4 linked regions of the Pelodiscus sinensis genome follow. The protein of the gene in region 1 interacts with the protein of each later gene in a pairwise test. Links are inferred from orthologs where the notes say so. Each region holds a gene or a part of one and is shown in the gene's direction. Other genes may lie near its edges. The genes, in order: FAM118A, WDR4, ATOX1 and MOB3C.

Region 1 (7,911 bases):
GCTTTGCTCCGCGTCTCCCTGGTCTGCTGGGGGGAGCCCCCCAGCAGACCAGGGAGACGCGGAGCAAAGCCTTGGAGGACCCGGGCGGCGGGACCGCAGCGCGTCTGGGCGGTCCCGCAGCCCGCGTCCTCCGGGGCCAGAAAAGCCCCGTTTGTAAGTACGGATCTGACGTAAGTCGGAGCCGCGTAACTCGGGGACTGCCTGTATCTAAAAGCCTATTTCTCCATGTAGACTGTAGGAACTTTCAGATTATAGTTATGGAATTTGGATATTTTCAAGGAGTCTTAAAGGAATGTTAAGGTGAAAAATCACAGGCACCATTATGATACTCTAGTTTAAGCTCCTGCATAACATCTAGGAACTTCTGCATTAAGTAAATCACTTAGTTTAAGATATAGCATGAGGTATGGTGATGTGCCCTGTCTAAGGGAGGGTTTGTATGGGATTTTGAGGTGAGCTGTCTTGTGAGAATCATATATGGTTCTCATCAATCATAGGTGCTTCTCTAGCTAGGGCTTTAAGTAGGGCTATCACTTAATCTCATTTAACTCACACAATTAATAATAATAGTGAGTTAAAAAGGTAATCATGATTAATTACAGTTTTAATCACACTGTTAAAAATAGAATGCCAAATGGAATGTATTAAATATATTTTTTTAAACATTTTAAAATACATTGATTTCAATTACAAGACAGAATACAAAGTGCATGGTGCTCACTTTATATTATTACAAATATCTTTGTCTGTATAAGTTTTGGAAACTGAAGGGTATGCATGTGTTCATTTTAAACAAAATGTGGATTGGAAAGTAGGTATGCCTAAAGAAGCATAGAACAGTCTAGAAAAGGCCAAGGGAAGGGAGGTGAACTCAATGGCTATATCTAGACTGGCATGATTTTCCGCAAATGCTTTTAACGGAAAAGTTTTTCCATTAAAAGCACCATTTTCACCATCGGGGCTTTTTTGCGCAAAACGGTTCTCAGTTGTCTACACTGGCCTTCTTGCGCAAAAGTATTTGCGCAAGAGAGCTTTTGCCCGAACGAGAGCAGCATAGTATTTCCTCAATACACTGACAATCTTACATGACATTGTTAGTGTTCTTGAAGAAATTCAAGCGGCCAGTGTAGACAGCTGGCAAGTTTTTCCGGAAAAACTTGCCAATCTAGACACAGCCAACATGTATAGTGGAGAAGTACTAGCATGTGACAAACAAAGCCATATATGGAAAGGTTGAATCTGATTGTCATGTGCTTCTTGCTTGAGGGGCTCTGGCTGATTTTAGTACCAGGGGCTGTGCCTTTGTGCACATTGAATAAAGTCTTGTTGAATTGAATTGAAATATTGAAGACCCTTGATTCTGCCCAGCATCTGACTCTCTGGGAACCACAAAAATCCCAACAGAAACAAATTAAGACTTTAATGGAGTTGCCCTGTATATGATCTGTCTGAATGTGGCTCTTGAACTCACTGCGTGGTACAAAGCAATGAATGGTCAGTTGAGTATCATACCTCTCTCTCTTCTTCCTCCTCCCCCACTTTTCTCACCTTGCTTCCCTCTTGGGTTTAGTCAGAGGTAACTAACTGGTGAACACCTCCATTGTACTGCTCTTTTCCAGTTATGTTTAGCTTTCCCTGTTTCCCAAGGACTCTGCTGTCACTGAATTCCTCAGCTATAACAACAGTTCTTAGCCTTCACTGTCTACTACTTAAGAGAGAACTCTTCTCATTTCAACACATTATGCCTTTCTCTTACTGTGCCTCTTGTTACTGAACTTTACATTTCTTTTTACCATTTCTGTCTCTGGTATGCATATACCTTAGTGAAAATGCAGGAACCAATTGCAAGACTGTGAAAGCTACTTTAAAGCTCTCCCTAATACCATTAGTGTATAGGTATGGAAGGGGAATATCTTAAAAACATTTGTCTTTGGCTAATTTTCTAGCTCTATGCACAGGATGCACAGTGCCTATATAATGTAGTCCTCTGTTTATTACTTTTTAAAGTAATGTAAAACAAGAAAAGAAAGTACTGTAAACTAGGCAGGGGTCACAATCTTGAGTCCAGGAAAATATTTAGAAAGCATCTGTAACTCTTATATTAGCAAAATATTATTAGACTCTCAGCATATTATTTAGAGATAGTAAAGTTCCAGTTTTCTAACCATTCAATGTCAAATGGAGTTTCATGAACAGTGACACTGGGTTCCAGGCAGGGCTGGCGACCGATTCACTGGACCCTGGAGAATATGCATGGGGACATTAGCGCCAGATTCCCCAGGAGGGACATGGGCTCATGTGGAAGGGGCAGGGCTAGGAGGCAGCCTCCTCCAGCTATCCCTCAATGTAGACTGGACTGCACCACATGGCATTCTGGCAGCAATTTAAAGGGCTCAGCGCTCGAGCTGCTGCCTATAGCAACCCAGAGCCCCAGATCCTTCTAAATCACCAGGCCCTGCCGCTCTGGTCCCAGGCATAGTAACGTGAATTACAGTGTGGATTGTCACCAGCTTCTATGTGAGGTGACATAGATTGTTGACCTGGAGGTTTACTCAGGCATATTAATATGGTACAAATACTCTTCTGATTCACCTGAGACCAGAGTGGAGAAGTGGCCTCAATTTTTGCACAACCCCAAATTAAACCAAACATTTCTTTTTCAGATGACAATAGGTTTAGCTACATTCTCTTCCCAACAGACATTGGGTTTTCTCTATGATCTTATTTTCAGGCTGCTGGAGCGGTAGGGGGTAGGTGGCTTAGGGCAGAGTTCAGGGGCAGGGAGCTTAGGGCAGAGGGTTGGGAGGTGTGTGGGGGGAGCTCACTGCAGGGGGAGGGAATGCATAAGTCAAGGCAGGTGGAAGGTGCAGGACTCAGGGCAAGAGGCTAAACACAGGGTGGTGGGGGAGGGCTTACTGGGGCCAACCGTAGTGGTGAAGGTGGTGCAACTCCCATAGTGACTCCTCCCAGGGGACCATGGCAGAACTCTCCTGCCAGCAGGACCCCCCCAATTACCCTCCTCCACAGCCTGCAGGTTGTTGGGGGGAGGAGGGGATGAGGTTCCAGCAGCAGCAGACCCCTCCAGCTGTACCTCCCTCTTCCCATGCAGCCTCTCTGAGGGAGAGCCAGCTCCAGAGACTACCACCCCCTCTGCCCTGGTCTGCAGGCTGCCTGAAGGGGTGGGAGTGAGTCTTCAGGGGCTGCTCCCCTCCTGCAGCGCCCTCTCTATGGCCTGGAGTCTGTTTGGGGAGAGGCCAAGCTTTGAAGGCTTCCTACCCTCCAGCGGCTTCCCCGCAGCCTGCAAACTCTTCATGGTGATGGTAGGCTCCCGCTTTGGGGCATGAGGGCTCTTTACCAATATGCTGGCAAGGGGAACCCCAGCCCTGCTGGCCACTCTCTTGGTGCTGCAGCTGCCACAAATGGCCACTCTCAGTATCACAACCTGTCCCCTAGCTCTGTAGCCAGACAGGAATCCCCCGCCCTGTAATATCCATCTTGCTTACCCCTCTTAGGTGCTTGGAGCATACAGGGCACACAGAGCAGTAAGATCAGCATAGTCTTTGAAGCCTTGACAGAAGGCCTGGATATGCTGGCTGTTGTGACCCTGGATGGCTATAAAGAGATACTCCAATTGTTGACCTCGAGGCTGCGAGAACTGCCTTGGCTGGCACCTATATTGATACAAACACACAGCTGTCCGCGGGGGGAGGAATCTCCCGCCCAGTAAAGAATGTCCAGTACTCTCTCTCTTGCAAGTGTAAATTAAGTTGAAACTCCCTTGTAAGAACTGGCGTCACAAAGACGGACCAACACAATTTGGCATCTTAGATAAGAAAGAGGATACAGGCCCCTATGGGTATAAAGATGGGTTCAGCAGCCCACACTCTGAGCATCAATCTACCATCTATCTGCTGGTCGGGTTAGGTGATTGGCCTCCTGAGGTTCCACGGGGACGCCCATCTCGTATTTGTCTTTCCTAGGAATTGAGGGACCAGCCCTGGCCTGACATGCTGGAGTCGAGAGGCACAGAAGGGGGTAAAAATTGTACCTGGATGTGTCCTTTGTCTTAAGCGTACACATAGACTTAGAGCTCTTTAAAGATTAAGCTGTCACTTGGTACCATTATTTCTATTTTCTATCTTTATTTTCTTTGTAACCATTTTTAAGATCTATATTTGCTAGCAGTTAAGAAATAGAGCAATAGCCATTGTAACCATAGGATTTATAAGCTTCTTTAATAAACCTGTAACTGTTTAAGCTTTAACCTGACTCCTTCAGTTGCTGTAACAGAACCAAGTACAATTTAAAAGAACTCCAGCCGGTCATAGGGAGCAGACACAGGGCAGAGCTGGGCATTTGGACCGTGTCGCTTCCAGGGGACAGACCTCGGTTCTAGCAGCTAGACTTGGGTGTAATAAGCTCTCCCTGCAAACTTTGGGGTGTCTGTCAGCCTGTTGGCTGCCCGCCGCGAAGGGACCCCGGTCCTAGCGGTCAAAGACAGGGATGTAAAACTTCTCAGGGCGCCCATCAGCCTCCCCTAAGGCCGCTCTCTGCGACAGGACCTCATGTCCTAGCAGTTGAAGACTTGGGTGTATAACGCCCAGGCACACGCGCTGCCCTGACCATGGGCTGACATGCCCCCTCCCGTGCCATGTCCCGGATCACACTCCCGTCCCGGCTCTTCCCCTTTCCCAGGCACCGCCGACTGGGTTCGCTGAGGGCGAGAGGAAGCTGCACAGCAAACTGGGTGGCCGGTTAGCGCGCGCTGCACCGCAAGGCGGGGAGAAACGCGCTGCGAAGGGGGGGGGGTGCTGCAGGGTATTTAAAAGCAGCCGGGACGGGGCGAATCGCCCTAGGGAGGAGGGGGGGGGGCGGAGCCCTGGCGCGAGGCGGCTTCCCGGCGGGGGGGGGGCGGGGCGTGTTTGGGAGACACCAGCCGGGTGGGCGAAGGCCGCGGGGCGAGAGCTGAGCAGCTGGCTCCGCCCCCGGCCGGAGGGGTAAAGCCGAGAGCGAGGCCGGCGCGCGCGCAGAGAGAGCGGCGCTGGAGCCCAGCAGGTTTGTGGGCGCGCGGGCGGGGGCGTTACCGGCCGCCTCAGGCGCTGCCCGGAGCCGTTGCTGCCCGCGCGCAACTCCCAAGCCGGTGGTAGGAGGGCGGGGGGAGACTCGCTGCTGCTGCGCGGAGCTCTCCTGCCCGAGCTCGGGAAAGGGGTCAACGGTCACGGATCAAAATAGCAACGCTCCCCCCTGGCGCGTGCCTGGCCGGCTGCATCGGCACCTCCGCGGTGCTTTCTTGGGGGAGCAGAAAAATAATCCTCTGCCGGAGCCGCAGATCCCTTGGGCAGGGAGCGCGCTGGGGTTTCATGCGCGGATTAAAAAGGGGGAGCGTGGACTAGCGCGCCAGAACCGGAAGGGACCCCAGAGGGCATCACGTCCAGTCCCCTGCCCTCGCGGCAGGACCGGTTAAGGTCTTGATTAGGGTTGGACAATAATTTTTGGTAAGGGACCACTCCAAGATTTTTGGGAAATGGTGAAGGGCCTCGCTTTTCTGTGCCGGAAATACCGGGGCTAGGATGGAGGTTGGGTGCAGAAGGGCGAACGGGGTAAGGGACTGGGGTGCAGGAGATGGTGTGAGAGCTGAGAGGGAGTTTGGGTCAGGGAGTGGGGTGTAGGGTCAGGGAGCAAGTGCCAGTGCAGGAAAGGATTCTGGCCTTGGGGAGGGGCTCTAGGAGAAGGTGCAAAGTCTGGAAGGGAATTTTGATCTGGGAAATGGGGGTGCAAAGTAGGAGGGTTTGGATGATGACCTGAAGCTGGGGAATGGGGTGCAAGATTGGGGAGGGGATACAGGCACAGGACAGGCTTCTGACTTGGCAGAAGGGTGTAGGAGGGGGTATGGGAAGGAGTTGTAATCTAGGGGAAGAGGGTGCAGAGGGTTTGGATGCTGACCTGTGGGAGGGAGTTGGCATGCAGGAGGGGCAGAGGTGCCAGAGGCAGACTCTAGCTGGAAGGCACTTACCTAAGCATCTCCTGGCCAGCAGCCCTGCCGCACTTCCAAGGCAGACTAGACTCAAGCCCCAGATCACTTAATATTGCAGGCTGTTCTCTTCAGGTGACTCTCAGCCACTGCTCCCATTTCCCCCATTGCTGAAGGAGCATAAATGTATGGTATTTTTGAAAAGTATTGATTATCTTTTAAAATGCTTCTAAATTACAAGTTTCTTATGTACCTTTGTTTTATAATTGTTTCTTTTGACATCTCTGGCTTATCACTCATATACAGTAAAAATATCTTTAGAGAAGTGAAGGCAAGATGGTGCATGTGGGGGTTATTTAAAGAAAATAAATGTAACTATCTAAATAGGTATTTTGACTTGTGCTTTCTTAAGCTGAATTTGAACTTCTTAAATAAAGCGAATAACACTGAAGAGCTGTTATTTTCCTTTTCTGTATCATGTTTGGTTTTTTACAATTTACAGATTCGGTGGTAAGCATTTGTTAATGGGATTATTTTTTAAGATTTGAAACCCATCTAACATTCTTGAGCAGTTAAATATATTTTCATTTGACTCTTTTACAGTTGCCGTAAATGAGGAAGGGTGTGTGTGTTGTGTATGAGTGTTTGGAAAGCAGAAAAGTTGCACACTTAAATGAACAGCTTTTTCTCCACTTGCCACACAGATTTGGAGTTAAGGGAAGCATATATATATATATATATATATATATATATGACTTTGAAAAATTGCATTCTGTCTTATTGGATCTAGATATAGGGCAGATTGTTAGCTGGTGTAAATTTTCATAGCTCTACTTAAATCAGTTGACAACTTGAAATCAGAGTTCATCATTACATTAGTTTTACTTTCTGTGAGAAGTCTCTCACACATTGTTAATTTAATAAATTGAAAAAAGCTAAGAAACTGTCAAATACAACAACATTTAATTTTGATAGTAATGGGGCATTTTTTTATGTAAACTGAAGTATTAAGAGTTGCTACCCTTTTTAAAAAATAGGTTCAGAGATGGAGTCAGAAGAAAGGACAACCATCAGAAGCGAACAAAAATCGAGGTAAATATAATGGTAACTAGTGTGAGAGAGATCTGGAGGGCAAGAGAAAGTAGGGGATGTCTGTTACTTGGGGATCACCCAAAGGTTAAGGTGGGAGTGAAGATGAACTTTAAAGATTCCAGATGCACCTTTGTGAAAAGGTAGAGATCATATTTGCTGCTTTAGTCTTCCAAAATTTTAGCATACTGTTTTACTTCCCTTCCTCCTTTTTTTCTTCTTCCTACTTATTTAGATTTTAATCCTCAAAATAATTCATATAGGCAGATTCTTACATTGCCTTTGAGTTCTGTAGATTTAGTGGAACTCTAGGAGAATAAGGATCCTCCCATTTGGACCCCTTTGAGGATTGGGCCTCACTATTCTGCAAAATGACATGGAACTTTTTTAAAGTATCTGTATGAGAAAGCTCAATAAGTTTGTAAACGTGCAAAAGTCAAGGACATGAACAAAAAGGATTTCTTGAGTTAATTACTGTCCTTGATGGTCTCCCTTTAAGGACAACATGAAAATATTTGCAGTATAGGCTATCACAACAGAGTAAGAACAAAATTAAGATAGAAGGTTACTGTATAAAACTACCCGATAACCCTTTCATATTTTTAAATTTTAAAAATAACAGGGGTGCTCAAAAGCATGTGAACTTTTGTAATTTTTTCCATTGCCAGCATATTTCATACTTGGTTAAGCTGTTATTGCAAAATAGGTAGCAGGTATGCCTGGAGGAAACAAACCGTTTGTGTGGGCTGTTGCAGAAAGGAGAGTATAAAAGCAGTATCTTATTTAGCGACTTGCCTAGTAGTTGCTGTACCTCAGGGAGTTGCTTATAGATTCAGCTAATGTGACCTAGA
Region 2 (7,472 bases), about 67 Mb from region 1:
CAAAATATACAAAGTATATCCTTAAATGAATACATTTAAATAAATTTCTTACTTTGCCTATCTGCATATTTCGATCATCAATAGAAATAATTCGGTTTGTGCGAGTAAACTGACATTGATATTTTCTGAGAAAAATCTAATCCTTCCAAGCCAAAATTTGCACAGTGGTTCTTCCCCCCCCCCCCCCCCGCCCCCCCACAACTATCTCTGATGGACATACAACCGAAGTTGCGATCTGGGAATGGATCATGTACCTATCTAGACCAGAGTCAGACAGTAGCCACTACTTGTTAGAGAAAGGCAAAAATCACTTTAAACAGTCAAATGTAAAATGACGTATAGTATGAATGTGTAAGATTTTCCTTCTGGTACCAGTTATAGTCGGATTATTTTTTGAAGCATGAGATTTGTTTTCGTTTCTTGATCTGTTTCTTGTGTTGTTATGCAGAAATATGCAAGACTGGTTGCAAAGAAGCACATTAGAGCTCCCAAGTAGGATTGACAGAAGTCTATTTTCATAATTTACAGACAATACTGATGTTTATTGGTAAGCATTTTTTATTTCTATTATTGATTTAATTTTTTACAGTAGTGCAAAATTATGGGAGGTTATAATGATTTAAATTTTCATCGTTGCAGGAAACTGGAATGAACAATATTTAAAGACAACAGATGCGGAGATTAGGGATGTGAAAGTTTAACCAGTTAATCATCAGGCATCACCCTAAATGGATGTGCCTTACTAGTTAAGGCTAACCAGTGGGGGCTGGAGCAGCTGGGCACCCCACAGGTGGGGGCTTCTCCCCCCCAGACCGAAGGAGCCCTTGGCTATGGGAGGGGGATGGGAGGACAGCAGCATCCCAGCCCCAACTACAGGGGAGCAGCCTAGAGGGATTCTGGCCCCAACCGCAACAGGATGGTGTCCTGGCCCTGGCTATGTAGGGGAGGCCCGGGGTGACTCCAACCACAAATGTGGCCCCACCCCCAACATTTGTGGTTCAATTTGGCTGGGCAAGCTTCCAGGACTCCTCCCCCAGCTGTGTCAGAGCGGCTGAAGCAGGATAGGCAGTTAACCAGTTTAACTTTAAAATGCAATATGTTTATCCTGTTGACTATTTAAACACTTTTTAACATCCCTAGTTGAAATGAAAAAAATAAGTTTATTAACCATTAAATCTAAGGATGTTAAAAGGCAGGTAATCGTGTAGTTGATACAATTTGTATCATGGACAGGGGCTGCTGTTGGAGTAGCCTCTCCTGGCTCCCCTGCACTGCTGCCTCTGATGGGACAGGGCAAGTGGTGCTGTGGAGATGGTACTAGAGGTAACTGGCTTTTTAACCAGTTTCCCCCAACACCTGCTCCTGCTGCCCCCCCCCCCCCCAACCTTGCTGCCTTTGGCAGCAAGGGGGGGGGAAGAATACGAGGAGTTAATTAATCGACTCCTTTACATCCTTAATTAAAACACTGGGGCTATGTCTACACTGGCGGCTTCTTGCACAAGAACATCTTGCACAAGGGTTCTTGTGTAAGAAGTCTTGCGCAAGAAAACATCCACACTGCCATGTGCATGCTGTGCTTTTGCGCAAGAGCTCCCATGGCAGTGTGGACAGGGGCAGATGATAATTTTGCGGGGCCCAGGGAGACACAATTTTGTGCATGCGCCTCAGCAGCAGCTAACCGGACGTAGCGTGCGCGGGGCCTCTTGAAGCACGGAGCCTGGGGCAGCTGCCCCGCTCGCCCTGCCCTATATCCACCGCTGAGTGTGGACGCTCTCTTGCGCAAGAAAGCTCTGATGACTGTTTTAGCCATATGGCTTTCTTGTGCAAGAAATCCCTACTGAGCGTCCACGCTGCCCTCTTGCGCAAGAGGTCTTACACCTGATAAAAGAGCATAACTCTTGCGCAAGGAGCCCTCTATTACCATGCCATATTGTAAATTTCCTTGCGCAAGAGCAAGCGGGCAGTGTGGACACTCTACAGATTCTTGCACAAGAATGACTGTACTTGCGCAAGAAGCCACGAGTGTAGACATAGCCAAATTGTCTTCATCACCTTAAAAATTACTTCATCTTAGAGAAAAAAGGTCGAGAAGGGATATCTTAAATCATACCTGTTTTTTACTATTCACTAGTCCATTTGTAACACGCCTACTTTAAAAACCTAAACTACTGCAGTTTTTTACTGTAATAAGTTCTCAGGCCACATTTTTATTACTTTCTTGCTGAATATTGATTATTATCAATGGAAATATTTTTCACTGGTTTGTGTATGAAGTGAAATTGATATTTACTGGTAAAAATCTAATCCTTCCAAACCTACTTATATACGTTTGAAACAATTTTCAAGTACCATTCCAGCAGATTGTATTAAATGAAACCCTGCCTGCCTGGGCCTTGTCTTCACCAGGAAGGCTATGCTGCATTAGACACACTTTTCTCTCCTGGAACGGTGTGACCAGGCATAGATCCCAGACTCCACTAGGAGGGACAGCAGCAGCCCTGGCTATTGAGGTGGCTGCCAGACAGACTGGCTGGAATGTTCTGAAAAGCTGAAGTTTCAATGGATATTGATTGGCAGGGAAACATTTCCCGGTTGCAGAGGGAGGCCTGAGCACAGCCAGGCACTGGGCCACAGCAACCCAGCCAGTGGCACTTAGTGCCAGCGCAGCTCCATGCTCTTAGCCCCAGGCAGGGCTCCAGAGCAGAGAGGTCTCTCCTGCCACAGCACCACCTGCCTGCCCAGTACAAGGGGGGCAGCCACAGGCCCTCCCTGGCTCCTGGTGTCAGCCCAGGCCTGAGCCCTGCTCAGCTGCACGAACCACGCCCAAACCTCAGACACCAACAGCGCATGCGCAGCATCTACAGGGCGGCGCCGTCTTGTGTACGGGCAGCCTCTGGGAAGGTGAGGCGCCAACGCATGCGCACTAGTCCCCCCCGCACTCAGCTACACAGATTCCGTGGGACTGGCGACAGAATCCTGGCGCATGCGTGGTTGCCGCTGTCCTCGTCCTCCCCACTCCCGGGCGGAGTCAGTGGCCCCTAGAATCTGTGCGTGCGTGGGGCGTGGCTGAGTGGCGGCGCGTGCGCCCCAAGCAAGAGCCTCAACACCCCCCCCCCCACCCCGTTAGGGGTTGATTAGAACGGGAAGCCCCGCTAGCGCGAGCCGGTCCCGGGGCGGGGGAGAGACAGGTGTGCGCGCGCATCTTACCCCACCCCCGGGAGAGCATCGTCCCCGCCACTCACCTTGCGAGTCACAGCCCGGCCGCAGCCCAGCAGCGAGGCGGCGGCCGCCATGTCTGTGCCCCGCGGAAACGCGGCCCCCGCAGCAAAGGTACCGAGCCCTGGGGCGGCCTGGCTCGAGCGTCTCCGCGGGCTGGGTGGGGCTTCGGTGCGCGGACCTCGCCCCTTAGTGGCTGCGTTGCCGTTGCCCCGCCCACCGCCCGACGTGCCAGGCCCCCTCGTCCCCGCCCCGCGCAAGAGCTGCTGGCGGCGGGGGAACCCTCGCAGCCCCCCCCCCCCCCCCGCACACACACAGTGCGGAGCGCGAGGGACCTGCTCGAGGGCGCGGCCAGTGAAACGGGCAACAACTCCAGCCTGGCACTTCTGATGCTGCGGTCATATGATCCTTCCCCAGGCCTGTGCTTCCGCCCCAGGGCTGTCCTGTCCCATGGCTAGTGCCAGTCCCGAAGATTTTTTTCAACAACACGCTGTTAGAAAACTGCACTGGAAAGAACTAGGGCTGCAGTCCTGCAAAACACCAAACAGCATTCAGTGTTGTGCAAGATTAGATCTTAATTTCCTAGGGAACCAGTATGGTAGCAGGGAGCATGCCACACCATAGTTTATGTATAATTAATTTTGGCTTGGAAATTTGGAATAACTTACACATAATGGTGCAGCGACATTTTAAAAATACCACCACTAGTGAATAGTTTATTATATTAGAAAAGCACTTTGATAAGAGTGTTAAATAAGTATTATCTACATGTTTTGTTAGTCTATAAAGTGCTACCAGACCATTTGCTTGCTGTTTTTTTTCTGTAACAGACTAACTCGGCTACCCCCTGAAGTTCCATCAATTACTTTGGAGGACTATGTGTACAGAATAGTAACGAACCCCCTGAAGTATCTATCCAGTGTTATTGTTTAAATGTCAGAAATGATTTTGTAGAACATACAGTAGGTAGGACTACTGTTTCAAAACAACTAACGAATTATTGCAGCCCATGTACAAGTACACCTCGTTATCCCAATTTCACAAATGGGGAAATGGCACAATCAAGGCCATACATTCTTTGTCGTAAAGTTCTCAGCATAGTTTGACAGTGGATTTGCCGGCAGGGTCCTGTGCGCAGAGCTCTGGCCTCTTTGTAGGATCAAAGCTTGAATTACTTGTTTCAGGACCTATAGAAAGTCCCGGGGGGAGGGAGGGCTCCTATCACGTCATTAATCAGCTCGTGTTGCTCTGTGACGTCTTCACTCCGCGCCGGCTCGGTAAGCCGCAGCTGGGGGCGCGCACGTGGGCGGCTGTGTGCATGGAGGCGGCGGGGGCTGGAAGTCGCGGCCCGGGGCTGGCGCTCTGCGGAGGCCTGATGGCTGCCAGCGGCGGGAGTCGCTTCCTAGCAGCCCGCTATCAGGAGCCCAGGTCAGTGCGGGGGTTGTGGCGCTGCCCGGGGAAGCGGCCGGGAGGATGGTCCCGGGAGCCCGTCCCGGGCCAGGCTTGTGCCGTCCCCGGGGCTTCTCTCAGCGTGGAACCGGAGAGCGGCTGGCTCGGGACGAGACACGGCCACACGCTCCCGCTGCCTGTGTCCGGCCTTTAAATCCCACCCCCTCCAATGAGATGTCTGCATAAAGGCCTCCCCCGCCCCCGGGAGTTCAGGAGCATCAGCATGGCCCCAGATGACATTTCAATGCTTTTTAAAGCCAGTAATGCTTTGAGGGTGAATTCCCGACTGGACGTGAAAACATTCTTATTAACTAGTGTGTGCCTTTGTTTTACTACCCAGTATGCTGTTTATTCTTGTACCTTGTTATGTTAAATGTATCTTTTTAAAGGGATACTGCCAGAATTAAAGAGGCACCATTCACTGGAAACTAGGAATCTAACATTAATTGATTAACTGGTTAAACATGGTTAATGGGTTGACCAATTAAAGAGAGAACCAGGGGCCACTGCAGCCCAATTAGGCATGGGTGCTTCCCATCTCCCCATCCCCGCCAGTCCCCCCCCCCCCCCACTCGCCAGGGCGGACAGGAGTGGCCTTGTCTCTGGCAGGTCCTGCGCGGCTTCAGCAATGCCCTGCCCTTGGGGAGTGGAGAGCACTTCAGTCCCCACTGGTTAATCAGAACTGGTAAGCATCACCCATGAAGGGTGATGCTTACTGGTTAACCTTTAGGGATGTTAGCATGTAGTGGTTTACACAATTAGCTGATAAGCCTGGACTTATGAGTTAATTCAAACAACTAAATGCGTGCACACACACACTCCTTGCTGCCTCTGATACTGACTCCCCAGCTACGTCTAGACTGGCATGATTTTCCGCAAATTCTTTTAATGGAAAAGTTTTCCGTTAAAAGCATTTGCCGAAAAGAGCGTCTGGATTGGCACGGATGCTTTTCCGCAAAAGCATTTTTTGCGGAAAAGCGTCCGTGCCAATCCAGACGCTCTTTTGTGCAAAAAAGCCCCGATCGCCATTTTCACGATCAGGGCTTTTTTGTGGAAAACAAATCTGAGCTGTCTACACTGGCCCTTTTGCGCAAAAGCTTTGCGCAAAAGGACTTTTGCCCGAACGGGAGCAGCATAGTTTTTCCGCAAGAAGCACTGATTTCAGACAGTAGAAAGTCAGTGTTCTTGTGGAAATTCAAGCGGCCAGTGTAGACAGCTGGCAAGCTTTTCAGCAAACTTGCCAGTCTAGACGCAGCCCCTATGTGTGCTGGTTCCTGTGGTGCTGCTTTCACCCCCTTCCTCTGCCTCCCACAGAGGCAGCAGCCAGGGGAGGCGGGAAGGGAGCATGCAGGAGCCCGTACTTGGGGGGAGCTGGCTTGAAAGCTGGCTCCCCAGGAGCACCACATCTGGCAAAACCGCCTGCCCCCCACCCCTGTGCTGGCAGCAGCATGGAAGGTGAAGAGTGCAGGAAGGAGCAGCAGTGCAGGAGGGCAAGTGGCTTCGCAGAGCCAGTGCTTGTGAGGAGTCTGCTTTTAAACCAGCTTTCTACATGCACTGGCTCCTACCTGCCTCCCTCACCATCTGTGCTGCTGCTTCTCTATCAGAGGCAGCAGCAAGGCAGTGGAGTGTGGGAGAGGTGGCTCCGCAAGATCCAGTACTTGTGGGAAGCCAGCTTTTAGACCAGCGCTCCCTGAGGACTGACTCCTGATTGTCCCCCTGCGCTGATGCCTTTCGGGGTGGAGCAGTGGGGGCAGGCAGCTCCGCAGGAACCAGCACATGTGGGGAGCAGATTTAAAAGCTGGCTCCCTACAGGCACTGGCTCTCCTCCCTCCCTTCTCCCCTCCCCCGGCCTCTGATACAGAGGCAGCAAGGGGAGAGATGTCTGTGTAGTCATTTGGATTAACCAGTAAGCCCTAGCATATCGATTAAATATATAAATGACTACATGCTAATGTCTCTAGTAAACAGTGGTATCCCCCAGGGGTCTGCTCTGAGGCCTTTTCAACATATTCCTAAATTAGCTGAATGATCTGGAAAAGGGTTAATAGCAAGGTGGCAAAATTTGCAGATGATACAAAACTACTTAAGATAATTAAGTCCCAGGCAGACTACAAATAGCTGTAAAAAGACAGCTCAAAACTGAGTGACTGGGAAACAAAATGGGAGATTAAATTCAATATTGATAAATGCAAAATAATACACATTGAAAAACATCCAACAATGCATGTAAAATGATGGAGTCTCTAAATTAGTTGTTAACTCCAAGATCTCTTTCTTGAGTGCTATTGTGGACAGTTCTTTGAAAACAACCACTCAGAGTACAGTGGCAGTCAAAAAAGCAAACAATATTGGCAATCACTTAGAAGGGGATAGATAATAAGACAGAAAATACCATATTGCTTCTCTGTAAAACTATGGTACAACCAAATCTTGAATACTGTGCGCAGTATTGATCCCTCCATCTCAAAAACTGTATATGGGAATTGTAAAAGTTTCCAAAAGGAGCAACAAAATGATTATGGGTATGGAATGGCTTCCATATGAGGAGAGATTAATAAGACTGGGACTCTTTTACTTGGAAAAGAGATGTCTGAGAGAGAGAAATTATTGAAATCTATATAGCCATGACTGGCATGGAGAACGTAAATAAAAAAGTGCTATTTAATCCTCATAACACAAGAACTAGGGTGTCACCAAATGAAAATAAGTAGCAGATTTAAAACAAAGCAAAAGAACTATTTCTTCACACAATATACAGTCAACCTGTGGAACTCTTTGCCAGAGGATGTTGCGAAGTCCAAAACTAT
Region 3 (6,921 bases), on another chromosome or scaffold:
GGTAACACCTGACCCTATAGCCAGGACTTAATGCCTCTTGTTCCCCTAGCAGGCAGCCACTGTATGAATCTCCTTCCCTAGTTTCTTGCAGGGAGATTTACAGTCACTAGGCTGGCATTATGCCATCCTCAGCATTAATATTCCCCCCCCGCTTTTTTTTTTTTTTTTTTTTACTATTTATATCCTGAGCCACATTGCAAGCTGCCAGCTCATAGATCAGTAGCAAGGCCTTTGCAGAGTTTAGTACAAGCCAAGGGGCAGCCGTGTAAAATAACCCTGCCCCACAGCTGGGAGGACAAACAGCAGAGAGGCCCACAGCAGCACGGTCTCTCAGATAACCCCCACGCTTGCGGAAAGGGTCACATCAGCACCTACTTTTACAGCACTGAAACAAGATGCCATTTCTACGTGCAGCGAAATGGCATCGGCTCTGACCCCGGTGCTACCGTGCCTCAAGGCGGGTATCATCTTCCACCCGGCCTCCCCAGAGGTGGGCCCATGCCCAGCTAACTTAGCGAGAGGGAACATCAGGACGGGCAACTGGAACCTGCTGCTCAGCATGATGCAAAGTACAACTGCGTTAAGAAGCCATTTCACTTGCTCTGGCCAAGGCCTGCATGGGACACTCGCTATTTCAGGGTATTTATCCAACTGAAACTTGGTGCGCTTCACAGGGAGACAGGCATGCAGTGGTGAGCTGCTGTCCATAACTCCCTCCCGCTACCCTTGATTGCTGTCTTGTCCCACCCAAGGCACCTCATTCCTGACCTGCCGCAGGCCAGTTACTCCAGTCCTCAACTGCCCGAGCAAGCCAGTTCATCTATTCTGACCTGCTGCGCCCCCTTCCTATTCCAGTTCTGGGCTGCTCAGACAGTTCTACTGATGCCTCTCAATCCTGATACATCCCCCTACTTCTACACAAGTCCTGGGGTGGCTACACAACAGCCTATGCCCGTGGGTCCCATGCGCAGCGCCTCCTCCCCAGCACACCCTACTCTCAGATTTACAAAGTAGATTGTTTCCACTCCACTGCTTCAAAAGATTAGTTCACTACCGTGTACTGGCATGGAGTGAGGGGTGGGGAGCAGGACAGGCATCACCACCTCGCTACCAGAATTTGGAAGACACTTGCAGTTCCACACAGGCTCGAAGGTAGACAAACCTCCGGGAAGTCACTTTCACCTGACCGATTCTAGAGCCAAAAAAACCAGACCACGTTAGGCTCACGGGCTATGTCTACACTGGTGGCTTCTTGAGCAAGAACATCTTGCACAAGGGTTCTTGTGCAAGAAGTCTTGCACAAGAAAACGTCCACACTGCCATGTGCGAGCTGTGCTTTTGCGCAAGAGCGCCCATGGCAGTGTGGACGCTCTCTTGCGCACGAAAGCTCCGATGGCCATTTTAGCCATAGGGCTTTCTTGCGCAAGAAATCCCTGCCGAGTGTCCACACTGCCCTCTTGCGCAAGAGCTCCTGCGCAAGAGGGCTTACACTCTTTTTTATCAGGTGTATCACTTGTGCAAGAAGCCCTCTCTTACTATGCCGTACTGTAAATTTCCTTGCTCAAGAGCGGGCGGGCAGTATGGACGCTCTACAGATTCTTGCGCAAGAACAGCTGTACTTGTGCCAGAAGCTGCGGGTGTAGACATAACCCCGTAGTGCTTTACCCCACACTGGTCAGGATTCTCCTGCTTACAATTTATAATCTGAAGGGGGATTTCCTGATGCAACCAAGGGAAATCGGCTCCCTCCAGCCTAGTAGCCTTCTAATCTTCATTGTTATCTCCCCTTCATTGGGACCTCACAGCCACCAGCAGACTTTTCATTCCAGAGCTAACTACTACCCCTTAATCTCCAACATGCGCATCCTTTTGTGCCCTGGATGGTGGATTTCAACAGCTGTTAAGTATCCAGCCATTGATTCAGAACTTTCCCAATTGTTTCACCAACTCTTTAACACCTCCCCTCCCCCCCACAACCCCCTTTTAAATCTCTTTTCTGCAGACTACAGCAGGTACTTCTGTTGCTCCCTCACACACATTCTTCAGCTGGGAGAAAGTCTCCTTTCCACACACCCAACCAGATTCTCAGAATCTGCACAGCTGACATCAGCTTTCACCCATTTCCTAATTAGGAGTGAAGAAAATCTGTCACGATTGAAAAGAAGATTTCTTCCTTCATCCTAACTTGTGCATTCCCTGATTTACTGTCCTATTGCAGCTCTGTAGAAAAGGGAAAGTGAATGAGTGGGGTTCCCTTTGGATTTCACCTACACTCAAGAAATTTACCAGCCTTAAGTCATTTGGTTGCCCCCCAACACACTAATGAAACATTGGATTCCCCCTGGGAAAGTGCTCCAAATATAGTTCAGATTAAACTAGCTTTCAGGAGGTCTGAATGCAGGGCAGCTTCCTCTAAACCAGTGTAATCCCAGCATGACCTGAGGGCTCAGAAACTCCAGTCCTTCCACTGTTACCTTTTCTCTCCCAGTAGCAAGTAACTTTTGCTCTCAGTCCTCCCCATTCAGTTCATCTCCACTAGGGCTTCTGGCAACTGCCCTCTGGTGGCATTTCAAAATATCCCAGAACCCACTGCTTCTGGAACAGGAACTTGCAAATGACAATGGTGCTTAGGGGAGCTCCAGCTGTAGCCTCAAGAAGCAGCGGTTCTCAACCAGGGAGCTCCTGGGGGGCTGTAAGCAGGTTTCAGGGGTGGGGTCCACCCAGCAGGGCTAGTGTTAGATTTTCTGGGGCCCAGGACAGAGGGCCGAAGCCATACTGCATGGGGTGGATGCCTCGGCCCCGCCACCTGGACTGAAGCCAAAGCCTGAGCAATGTAGCCTCAAAGGGGCCCATCCAATTGCCCTCTGCCCCAGCCCAGAGCCGCCCTTACCCTCTGCCACAGCACGGAGCCGCCCTTACCCTCTGCCCCAGCACGGAGCCCCATCCCGCCCCCAAACTCCTTCCCAGGGCCCGCATGCCTCACCTACACCCCACTAGGGATGTAAAATGTCGATTAACAGGCTAATCGAATAGTCGATGCAATCTGCATCGATTAGTCGATCAGAGGGGGAGGTGCCCTTACCGACTAAAGTGTCCCAACAGCCCCAGGCCTACACTTCAAAGGCGAAAGCGCTGCAGGGAGCGTGGAGCCGGCAGGTGACTCAAGCAGTCCCCGCTCGCCGCGGAGTTTCACAGTGGCAGCACCGCATGGATCCCGGGGCCAGTCCCCAAGAAGCACCCCCCCCCTTCCTGTCTCTTTCTGATAGAGGCAGTAAGGGGGAGGGGGAAACGACTAGTCGGTCACATCCCTGCACCCCACCCGTCTGCCCCCGCCCCCAACACCCTGAGCCCGCACCCCCACCGCTCTGCCCCAGCCCCCGGACCCCCCACCTGCCCCCACCGCTCTGCCCCAGCCCCCAGGCCCCCTCCTGCCCCAGCCCCCGGACCCCCTCCTGCCCCTCACACCTCTGCCCCAGCCCCCGGGCCCCCTCCTGCCCCAGCCCCCGGACCCCTTCCTGCCCCCCACCTCTCTGCCCCAGCCCCCGGACCCCCACCTGCCCCCACCGCTCTGCCCCAGCCCCCGGACCCCCTCCTGCCCCCCACCACTCTGCCCGGGCCCCCTCCTGCTCCAGCCCCCGGACCCCCTCCTGCCCCCCACCTCTCTGCCCCAGCCCCCGGACCCCCTCCTGCCCCCCACCGCTCTGCCCCAGCCCCCGGACCCCCTCCTGCCCCCCACCACTCTGCCCCAGCCCCCGGGCCCCCTCCTGCCCCCGCCCCCCAGCCCGGAGCCAACCCCCCCCAGATCCGCTCTGGGGGGGGGCTGCGTGGGAGGCGCGGGGCTCCCCGCTGCGTGCGCTGGGGCCGGCCCGGGGCCCCCAGCGAACCCGACCCGGCTCCGTGCGCAGCGAGCCGAGCCCCAGGGCGCCCTCCCGCGGCTCGCCGGCCGGGCAGGAGGCGGCGGGCGGGGCACGTCCGGGGGGCGGCGCCGGCCTCTTGGTGCGCGGAGCCGGGAGAGGAGCCGCGCAGACGAGCCGCCCGCTGCCATGCCGGTGGGTGGCGCCGCCCGGCCGTGCCCCGCGGGCGCTGTCTGGGCCGGCGCATCCCTTGCGCTCGGGTTCCCACGGGCTGAGCCGAAACCCGCCCGGGGTGGCCCCGATCCAGAGTCCAGCCGCCGAGCCAGGCCTCCGGCCAGGCCGGGTCCAGCCCCGCTCCGAGCGCAAAGCGGGGAAGGCTGGAGCCCGGGGCGCAGGGGGAGCTGCTGGGCGTGTGCCGGGAGGGCCCGGCGAACTCGTTCCTAGCAGCCACAGCGAGAACAGGCTGCTCCTTGGGGGAGGGGGCCTTGGGAGACAGTCCCCAGCGCAGCTTAATGGCACCTGGTTTCCTTTACCTGGGGGCCATCCGGCTTGGGGGAAGCCAGCCAGCTGCCAAACTAGCCCCTGGTTCTCCTCCAAATCCCCCCCTCCCCTTAAAAATGCTCGTTTGTTGTAGCGCCTACGAAATGCTTGGAGCCTGCTGGTGTATTGGCACCGCAGCTTCTCAGGCTGGCCAGGGATTGCTTCTGCTGGCCTGAGGGTCTGTATCCTGGGTGGTCTCTTTAGATGGGAAGTTCCTTGGGGTAGGTTGGTTCACGGTGCCCCTTATTTGTATATACCTCTTGCGGCTAGCTGGGTGCTGCATATGTTTGCCTCCAGGGGTGGGGTTCCCATCCACTAATTTTACGGAAGGATAGGTTTTTCATTTGGAGGTATCCTTTCCAAACCAGACAGCCACCCACAGCTTGGTGAAGTTTTAAAATGGCAACGGAAACGAAAATTGTTGTCTTTCTGGATGAAAATCTTCCCTTGGAGCCTGGGGAACTCAAACAGAGGGACAGAAAAGTGATAGAAATGTAGCCGTGTTAGTCTGGGGTAGTTGAAGCAAAATGCAGGACAATGTAGCACTTTAAAGACTAACAAGATGGTTTATTAGATGATGAGCTTTCGTGGGCCAGACCCACTTCCTCAGACAGAAAGTGACTAAGGGTTTGTCTGTACTTAAAACGCTCTAGCAGTGCAGCCATAGCGTAGACACTACTGTGCAGCCAGGAGCAAATCTACTGTCAGGGTAACTAATCCACCTTGTCCAGAGGTGTGGATTTTTCACACCCCAGAGTGATGTAACAGGGTTGATGTAATTTTCTAGAGCCAACCAGGCCCTAGTGTTGACAAAGCAGTGAAATGAAACCAATTGGTTTTATCATCTGAATAGCATCTAGACCACGTTAGAATGAACAAGAAAATTAGGGTTGTTTTGGTTGTACTAATTGCATGTGTTCATTAACAATACAGGGAAATAGATATTTTATGTTACTGGGAGAGTCTCTCTTAGTAGCAGCTAGAGTCCAAATTGTTTTTAACTCCATCTATGCCAGTCGGGTCCCTTTAATCATGTTTTTAAAAGTCTAGCAGTATTATGAAGAAGGATCCAGTTACACTAGGTGAGTAAGAAAAAGACAGTCCCCTCCTCAGAGAGCTAATGATCTAAGACAACACAGCAGGCGGATGCAGGTGGATTGTGGAGCCCGAGGAAACAATCAGCTAATGTTGTAACTAGATATGCCGGAGTTTGCAGAAAACTTGGTTTTATGCCAAGGGTAGGCTTGCAGGGTTTGAATTGTGACCAGAGCCAGGTAGCACAGGGGAGAGACCACCTGGCCCATGTATTGGGGTCATTGGTGACAAAGCAAGAAGGGCTCTGTGGTTGTCTCCAATCTGTTCTCTCCTCCTCATTGCAGAAACACGAGTTCTCTGTGGACATGACCTGTGAAGGGTGCTCCAACGCGGTCACACGCGTGCTTAACAAGCTGGGAGGTAGGTGACACCGCTCTGAGTCTGGGGTCGAGTGACAAGCGGATGACCACGACACGGGCTCCGTGCCCACGACTGCCCCCTTTTTACAGAGCAGTGGAAAGGCTGCTCCTTTTGTTTTACTTGCCACGCCGGAAGCCAGGTGTAGGACTGCAGGGGGATCGGCAGTTGGCTCTCCTGTAGATGGGGGTTTCCATACGAGCCTTAAGGTACCATCGGCTGCTGTGGCAATATAATGGAAACTTTAGTCCATGTCCGCTTGCGCTTGCCCCTGCCTTAAGCTAAAGATTGCGCATGGCAGCCCTTGTGTCAGAAGAACCATTCTGGCTCAAACGCTGACTGCTCGTGGTGCTGTAATAATTGTATCTGGGACGGTCACAGGCCCGTCGCGATGCCCCGTAAATGTGGACAGTGGCTGCTGTTCGCAAAGGCTCCTTTGCTTCCCCGCGTCTCTGTGGCTGCCACTGTTGCTTGCCAAGCGCTGGGTGTGGAGTCAACTAGCATCCCTGGAGTCGCTGTGTCGTGGCAAAATCAGCTGTGGTGGGGGCCGTTTTTTGGAGGCTCCATCGTGCCGGATGATGCCGTCCATGAAGAGGGGGCTGCTCTGTTGGCAGGTGACACAGCCAGCCTAAGCCCCTGCCAAGGCACAGTGTGGGGGGGGTGGCTGGATAGTGTGGCCTGGAAGAAATGGGAGATTTCTACAGAGCCATAATGTCACCCCACGTATTACAGGTTGGACCTCCCTGGTCCGGCACTCTTGGGACCTGAGTGGTCCTGAAGGAGGGATTTTGCCGGACCGGGGAGGTCATTTCGGCCCCCCAGCCCGGCTCTGGGCCTTGCCTCCCGGCAGGCTTCCCACATGCGAGCATCCCTGTTGCCCTGCCACAGCAGCCCACGGTCCTGCCGCTGGGGCTCTCAGCTTTGCCACAGCAGACCACTGCCCTGCCGCTGGTGCGCTCAGCCCTGGCAGCACCAGTCCCGCCAGCCTGCAGTCCTGGTGCCGGGACGACTCCTGCCCCTTCCTTTTCCCATCCCCCACCCATGGAAGACTGCCCTGCCAGCCCTACCCAAGCCG
Region 4 (7,850 bases), on another chromosome or scaffold:
CAAAGTTGGGACTCAAGCTGCATAGAAACCTGTTTGTGTCTCTAGCTGTCGTCGATTGCTTTAGTAAGTGCCTCCTGTAGCTGTTAACCAAATGAACAAGATCCAACATGATATGAAGTAGAGTCCATATTTGGGGGACTAGGGCCCAGTAGGGCTAAAACTTATGTAGGTGACTTGCCTGCATAAGTCTCTGCAGGGCTGGGCCCTCTCTGTTGAAGGTGAACTGTACATTGGACACTTAAGTCACATATTGGCTGTCCACGAGGAACATGTAACCTTCAAGCCCTCTGCAAAGGATGAAAGCAGCATGTGGAAAACATCAGTGCCTGCAAACCTCAAATTTAATGCAAAAAAATCAACCGCCCCCACCCCCTGCTTTGTGAGGGACAAGCAGCAGGACGGAAGTGCTGGAGAAAGCCATATGATTTAATGGCTCTCCAAAAAGGACTGTGGAGATAGTGCCAAACCCTCAATCAGCGTGAACTGGCGTGACTCTGTTGACTTGAGTGGAGCTAAGGTGACTTGCACCAGTTTCGGGTCTGGCCTAGAGACCAAGGGTCCGGAAAAGGGAACAGACCAGGGTGTGGGGGAGGGGGAACGTGCCTTCTTGTTTCACGTTTGTTGCCTTTTCTTGAGGCACAGTTTAGAATTCAAGGCCGTGGAGGGAGGGGTGTGATTTTTTTTTTTTTTTTTTTGCTAGCTGAAGGGTCTGTGGCTTCCTGCCTCCTGGATGACTCATGTCATGTCAACAAGATTCTAAGGGGTGATGAAAAAGGGAAAGGCAAATCAAACTGCTCCGCACGTTGTTCTCTGCCCAGGGGCGGAGATGGCAGTTGAGACTCACTCTGTGCCAGGAAGGGACTGTGACATGCACAAAAACGGTGACCAGGCCCACAGGAACCCTGGTGATGCAGGCAGGCTAGGGAGCCAGGGGAGACCGTGTTGGTGACTGAGCAAAATCTGGTGCTTGAGCTGGAACTCCATTTTTACACTGTGGGGTAACACCCCAGAATTCTGAGGAATTATTCCTGAATCAGTGGGAAGTAAGATCAGAATCTACTCTGTCTTCATTGCAGGATATTACTCAGGTGACCCTGTGTTTTGTCTAGAGTTGTAGGCAAGGTACAGCTATACTGGTAAACAAGGGAGACAAAGCTGGGACTCAAGCTGCATGGAAGCCTGTTTGTGTCTCTAGCTGTAGTCAATTTCTTTAATAAATGCCTCCTGTGTAAGAATGAGTATGCTTCTATAAACCATGATAGCAAGGAGGTGACCTGACAGACGTATATAAAACAATGATGGTTTCAAGGCCAGTTGGGAACATCTTCCTCACAACGGGCATCTGATGCAGTTAGTTACTTTTAACTTAAAACTGGTGAAAGAAAGTACTTGGGAAACAATTAACTTGTGGAACTCACTGCTACATTATATCATTTTAGAGAAAAAGATGGCTCTAATGTAAAGTTGAGCTGCTACTAGTGGCAGTGGCAAGCAGAGGGATTAGATCACATATATGTTGATTACCCTCTTTAAGGAAATCTGCAGGTCAGTCTCGGGATTGGGGGCTTGTTACAGACTTGATGTACCCAATGGATGCTGACAGACCAAACGTGGCCCTAAATCTCCCTTTTATGAAATAAGGGTTTGCAGCAGCTAAGAACAGACAATTTGCCATCACTTCTCCCCCCCCCCCACACACACACAGTGAAACCCCCTTTGGCAAATACTCCCCAGCAATATTTGCTACCTGAACACTGAAGTTTTGTGCCACTACTAGGCAACCTGATGGCGAAACTGATTATAGGCAAAGGCCCAGTTGCTTTCTCTAATCTGAGCTGAGAAAAAGCAGCCAAAAGCAAACAGTGAAGGAAATTGGATGTTTTTGCCACAGAAATTGGAGGTGTCGGTAATTACATAAGAACAGAAACTTGCTGTGTGCAATTCCCAGGGCCTTCATTCTAGTTTCCTCACACCCCTACAATGCCCATATGATTTAGAGCAAGGCTGGGGAACCGAAGGCCAGGGGCCCGATGCAGCCCCCAGCTGGCCTGGGTTCAGCCCCCAAGGCTTGGGGCTCCCCCCAGTATTGGGGAGTCCACACTGGTGCTCCAGCCCCCCCCTCCATTGTTCCCCCATCGGGCTGGAACACACAAAAATCTACTAGCCTGGGACCCCCATGCTCTGGTGTGTGAGGGGAATATGGGGAGTGTTTTTCTCCTTCTTAGTCGGGGGTCGTATCGGTGAAGGGGTTTGTTTTGTTTTGTGCTTCTCACTTGTGTGTGGCCCCTGGCTGATTTTTCTGTGGGCCAGCAGCCCCCTACCCAAAGAAGGTTCCCTGCCCCTGACAGAGGCTATGTCTAGACTGCAAGCCTCTTTTGAAAGAGGCTTTTTCGAAAGATACTTTCGAAAAAGCCTCTTTCAAAAAAGAGCGTCTAGACTGCAAGCGGAACTTTCGAAAAAGCAAGCCGCTTTTTCGAAAGAGAGCACCCAGGCAGTCTGGATGCTCTCTTTCGAAAAACCCTTGTTTGCAGTCAAGAACGCCTTTTTTCGAAAGAGCACTTTCGAAAAAAGGCGTTCTTCCTCGTAAAATGAGGTTTTCCGCCATCGAAAGAAAAGCCGCGTTCTTTCGATTTAATTTCGAAAGAATGCGGCTGCAGTCTAGACGCAGGTGAAGTTTTTTCGAAAAAAGGCTACTTTTTTCGAAAAAAACCCTGAGTCTGGACACAGCCTTAGAGGCAGCTTTGGGGTTCCCCAGGAATGCAGGAGTATGCCAAGAGTTTTGAGCTCCTTTAAAGAACTTTATCATATACAAATATCAAGACCCAGTCTTGCAGACACAAATAAGCTGGAGCCAGGATCCGTTGCACTGAACTGTGGGCTCAGACCTCTATTTCGAACGTGACGTTGAAAAGAAGCAACTTCTCAGCACATTCATTGATTAAATGTTCCCGGTGGGCTAGCCCAGTAAGTAAGCTCTGCTGATCAAGAGACCAGTCTTTCTCCGGGCACGGTGATGCTTGTGCAGCTGCTCTCATCGAAGGTGAAATCCATCCGCTGATTTTCAGCAGCAGAGGGAAGGAGAATAGTTCATTTCTCTCTCTCTTCCATTCACTTTTTCACATCTACCCAGCAGGGCATAAACCGAAATCAGCTACAGGACTTGAGCTATGCCAGCGGTTCTCCAACTTGTGGGGCTCCGGAGCCATTTACATTCATAAAAATTTATGCGGCACCTAAGTTTTTCCATTAGAAGTATTTGTGCAAGAGAACGTCTATACTGGCATGTGCCTTTGCGCAAAAGATTTGCTTGTGCGCAAAAGCATCCGTGCCAGTGTAGACGCTCTCTTGCGCAAGAAAGCTCCGATGGCCATTTTAGCCATTAGGCTTTCTTGTGCAAGAAATTAACTTGGCTGTCTACACTGGCCCTCTTGTGCAAGAATACTTGCACAAGAGGGCTTATCCCTGAGCGGGAGCGTCGGAGTATTTGCGCAAGAACCACTGATTTTGTACAGTGCAAAGTCAGTGTTCTTGCACAAATACTCATGGCCAGTGTAGAGAGGTGGCAAGATTTTGCACAAAATCTTGCCAGTCTAGACGCACCCCGAGGGTTACAAGGAGTCGGAGTAAGCAGTCCAACAGCTAAACGTTATTTTGGCACTGTCGAAAGAACTGCTTGTGTGTAGACATGGACTGTGTTGTGTGTAGACATGGACTGTGTTATGTGAGAATAAGAAGGAGAATATCTTATTGCCCTTCTATAAATCCACGGTACGCCCACATCTTGAATACTACGTACAGAGGTGGTCTCATCTCAAAAAAGATATCCTGGCATTAGAGAAGGTTCAGAGAAGGGCAACTAAAATGATTAGGGGTTTGGAACGGGTCCCATATGAGGAGAGATTAAAGAGACTGGGATTTTTCAGCTTGGTGACTAAAGTTATTTACGTGTTTCCATAATATAAGAACTAGGGGCCACTAAATGAAATTAATGGGCATCAGGTTTAAAATAAATAAAAGGAAGTTCTTCACACAGTGCATAGTCAATCTGTGGAACTCCTTGCCTGAGGAGGTTGTGAAGGCTAGGACTGGAACAGGATTTAAAAGAGAACTAGATAAATTCATGGAGGTTAAGTACATTAATGGCTATTAGCCAGGGTGGGTAAGGAATGGTGTCCTAGCTTCTGTGTGTCAGAAGGTGGAGATGAATGGCAGGAGAGAGACGCTTGATCATTACCCGTTCGGTTCACTCCCTCTGGGGCATCTGGCATTGGCCACTGTGGGCAGACGGGATACTGGGCTGGATGGACCTTTGGTCTGATCCAGTATGGCCGTTCTTATGTTCTTATTTTGGAATAGCATCCGTTATTCCGAAACAACGCTGCTGTGGACACAGCCTTGGAGAGCTAAACCGTCGCTTGTAGTATTCCTTCATATCTCTGTGGACTAGAGCCAACTAGAGGAAGGACACATAAGCCAAAGGAGATATTGCAGCATCAAAGCCCGAAGGACATACTCACACAGCTAAAAGCACCACAGAGTCAGGGAACAAGGTGGGTGAGGCGATATCTTTTATTGGAACAACTTCTGTCGGTGACCGAGATAAGTTTTCGAGCTTACCCAGGGCTTGTCTTCCGGTCTGGCTCCTGGCATCACAGTTAAATACAAGGCAGAACTGATTATTTAGCATTGGTAGGGAGCCGTTATTACCACACCCCCGGGTCTCTCATATCCTGGGACTCACAGCTACCACAATGCCACAGAGAGGAAACAGGAGACAGACAGATTGAGGCGTGAGGGGGGCAGGGCGAGCCACAACTTTCTTTTGTGTGTGTGTGTGTGTGTGTGTGTGTGTGTGTGTGTGTGTGTGTGTGTGTGTCAGTCAGTTATTGCTCAGGCAGCTGTACTTCTAGACACTCTCAGGATATGACATCATTGGGAGGGGAGAAAAAGATTAGGCAGAGTTTCTTTCATGAAAACCCCAGAAAGGGCTGGTGCGTGTGTGAGTTTTTCCCTGACTCTGGGAACTCAGGACTAAACGGAGGACGCTCGGAAGAAATCCGGAGGACCTAGCTAGCTGACCTGTCCATACCCGCGGGGGACAGTTGCTCTCCAATTCAGATCAGGTCTGGAGTTAGGTGAGTGTTTGTTTGGTTTTATAAAACTTTCCTGAAGAAGTTTCTGGCTTGCTCTGAGAATAACTGTCTGCAGCTCCCCCTCCAGCCTCACACTTTCCCTTCTAGCCTGCCCTGTGTCCCAGCCCCACGGGGGACAAGAGCAAATGCAGCAAGTGGATTAATTCCCCCAACTTCTGACCCCAGGAATGAAGTTGCTGCTGGTCCATTTTATAGGGTGGGGAGAGGAGGCATTTCAGAAGCTGGCTGCTGCCAACTAGAGTCAGCTGGACGATATTTAGTGACCCTCCCCCATATTTTGTGTGTCCGGGGCGAGCGTAAGGAACCAGCTAAGCGGGGGGGAGGAGGGAGAGTAGCACATATAGAGAGGGGAAGCGCATGTGGCTTTCTGAGCAGACGAGCGGAGTCAATGTGACTTCCTGGAGCAGATGAGGAGCCAAAACAGCCAACGTTTGGAAGCCGTATCCTGTGTTTTTCAGAATTTGGACCGGGGCCAGTTGCCACTGCAAGGCGAAGCTGACAGGGGTCTGGGAGATGAAATGCGCTGGGCGTGTGGGTAGAGCTGTGCAGTTAAACCTCCAGAGCTGGTGGCGTGAGGGAGGAAACGGCATGTTCTAGAAGCTGGTCCGTACAGAGACCGGGCAGAGCTTGGCTTTGGCCCGAGGATGAGTTGTAGGCGGCTGCTGTGTTGTGCTTTTGGGGTTATGTCTGAGCCTCACATGGGAGCTGCGCACGTGGAAACCTTCTGGGGTAGGGCCTCTATGGCAACCCTTACTAAGGGCTGAGCGAAGAGCACGAGCGTCTCCCCAGTTCCATCAGAGCGGCCATATTGGGTCAAACCAAAGGTCCATCTAGCCCAGTATCCTCAGTGGCCAATGCCAGGTGCCCCAGAGGCAGTGAACAGACGAGGGAATCATCACGTGATCCCTTTCCTGTCACCCCTTTCCAGCCTCTGACCAGCAGAGGTCAGGGACACCGTCCCTACCCACGGGTGTTGGCTCATATCCTCTAGCTAGCAGCAGTGGTAGACCTGTGTCCTCTGTGAATCAGGCAGAGGGAGGAACCTGCAACACACGCTGGCTAGGGAGCTACATCTCCCTTCTGTTATTTGCATAAGAGGGTCGGTCTAGTGAAAGGAAGGCTGTCTCCGTGGTGACCGGGTTCAATCCCTCCTCTGCCACAGACTGCCCATGTGACCGTGGGCAAGTCACTTAGCCTCTCTGTGCAATGGGGGTAATCACCCTGCCCTGCCTCACAGAGGGGCGGGAAGGAGGAAGACATGGTTTCTATGGTGACAGGGCCAAGATAGACTGGAGCCCCACAAGGATAGACGAACCCCACAAGGAGGCGTGTTGGGAGACGCATGCTAAGAGGGTGTTGGAGGAGCAGCAGCAGCTGAGGTGGGTGATGCCAGGCCCACAGTGGGCTAGCCCTGGGCAGAGCGATGGGCCAGCCAGTAACACCAGTTCAGGGCAAGGGGACTGAGAGGCAGGCAGATGTGACAGTGAAGGGAGAAGCAGGCTGCCAGGCAGTGGAGGTGCAAGCACCAGGGAGGGGTTGCCTGGCAGTGGGCAGTGAGCAAGACCAGCAGGGGCCGGTGTCTGGAAGCAGGACTTTGCACGGCTGGAGTATTGTGCACCAGGGGACCGAAGGCAGTTGCCAAGTCCTTGGTGGACAATCTTCTCCCACGGCTCAGCTGGGGCTCCCTGTCCGAGCTCCCTCTCCCACGGTAGTGCGCTTTGGCCTCTCCCACAGCCCTTCACACCCCGGCCTGTTAACTCCCCCTCCCAGCGAGACACTTGGAACGTCTCCTGGAATTTTCCATCATTCATAGTTGGGATCCGCGGCCAGTAACCCCGTTCCTCCCCAGCAGCACAGCTGGGTTGGGTCTTCAGCCGAAAGCAAAACCAGCCCCGTTTGAAGAGCACTGTGTTCCTGGGACCATTTTAAAATATAATCATTTCATGGCTCCTTCGATGAGTTCAACTCAAAGGCCGGACAAGGACAGGGCAGAGATAGCGGACTATCGGGGAGAGAATTTGAGATCTGTTTCCAGCTATGCAGCTCTTTGTAGCACGGTTGCGCGACGAGGCTCCAACCCAGCAAATCCATATGCTCACACTTAACTTGAAGCGTCTCTGTCCCATGGACTGCAGTGGCATTACTAATGCGATAGGCTGTGTGCTTTACAGCAGTGATGTAACCCGCACACCTGCTGGGCGTGGGGCACTCCTCAGAGCCCAAATAATAATCGTTAATACACAGGGCCGGCCCACAACATTTTGGCACCTGAGGCGGGGAGCTCAAAGGACGCCCACATGTCCCCTTGCTTGGGACAAAACTTTGAAAGGTCTCAATTCTGCCTTCTTCCTGTCCTACTCCTCTCATGGGACTGCTCTGCTACCTACCCCGATAAAGGAGAACTAACAACTTAAAATGCCTTGTTCAGCAGCAGCAGACACAATTTTCTACACTCTGAGTCCTGAGGGCGCCCCCCTGCCACAGTCTGGCACCTGAGGCAGCTGCCTCAGTTTCCCTCATAGTAAGGACAGCCCTGTTAATACAGTGGCAGGTAGGTTGATTGGACACCTGGCCGGAGAGGTTAAGAACCAAACTAAAGATCTCAAGTGTATCCTTTTTGAACTTCCCCTAGCAGCTTCCCCTTAGACTCTGCCGATGCTCTTCGGCTATCAATGTGTCAGCAGGGGCTTTTTCTCT

What was found.
Region 2: the proteins of FAM118A (region 1) and WDR4 interact in binary tests that used the Homo sapiens proteins (3 or more experiments, as listed by UniProt). The two-hybrid records come from large-scale screens. The link is inferred for Pelodiscus sinensis from reciprocal best matches to the Homo sapiens genes FAM118A and WDR4.
Region 3: the proteins of FAM118A (region 1) and ATOX1 interact in binary tests that used the Homo sapiens proteins (3 or more experiments, as listed by UniProt). The two-hybrid records come from large-scale screens. The link is inferred for Pelodiscus sinensis from reciprocal best matches to the Homo sapiens genes FAM118A and ATOX1.
Region 4: the proteins of FAM118A (region 1) and MOB3C interact in binary tests that used the Homo sapiens proteins (3 or more experiments, as listed by UniProt). The link is inferred for Pelodiscus sinensis from reciprocal best matches to the Homo sapiens genes FAM118A and MOB3C.

Annotation. Positions count from the first base shown.
Region 1 is NC_134711.1:123,742,748-123,750,658, forward strand, and holds the start of FAM118A (protein FAM118A), read left to right. Parts: upstream 1-4,907; 5' UTR 4,908-5,055; intron 5,056-5,061; exon of another isoform or gene 5,062-5,495; intron 5,496-7,008; 5' UTR 7,009-7,016; coding exon 7,017-7,063; intron 7,064-7,911.
Region 2 is NC_134711.1:190,828,860-190,836,331, reverse strand, and holds the start of WDR4 (tRNA (guanine-N(7)-)-methyltransferase non-catalytic subunit WDR4), read left to right. Parts: upstream 1-4,457; 5' UTR 4,458-4,534; coding exon 4,535-4,644; intron 4,645-7,472. Other genes in the region: NDUFV3 (NADH dehydrogenase [ubiquinone] flavoprotein 3, mitochondrial), read right to left, coding at 3,243-3,293. UniProt on the Homo sapiens protein: Non-catalytic component of the METTL1-WDR4 methyltransferase complex required for the formation of N(7)-methylguanine in a subset of RNA species, such as tRNAs, mRNAs and microRNAs (miRNAs).
Region 3 is NC_134727.1:36,245,211-36,252,131, reverse strand, and holds the start of ATOX1 (copper transport protein ATOX1), read left to right. Parts: upstream 1-3,906; 5' UTR 3,907-4,043; coding exon 4,044-4,049; intron 4,050-5,773; coding exon 5,774-5,849; intron 5,850-6,921. UniProt on the Homo sapiens protein: Binds and deliver cytosolic copper to the copper ATPase proteins. May be important in cellular antioxidant defense.
Region 4 is NC_134719.1:3,779,866-3,787,715, reverse strand, and holds the start of MOB3C (MOB kinase activator 3C), read left to right. Parts: upstream 1-4,846; 5' UTR 4,847-5,135; intron 5,136-5,501; exon of another isoform or gene 5,502-7,850. UniProt on the Homo sapiens protein: May regulate the activity of kinases.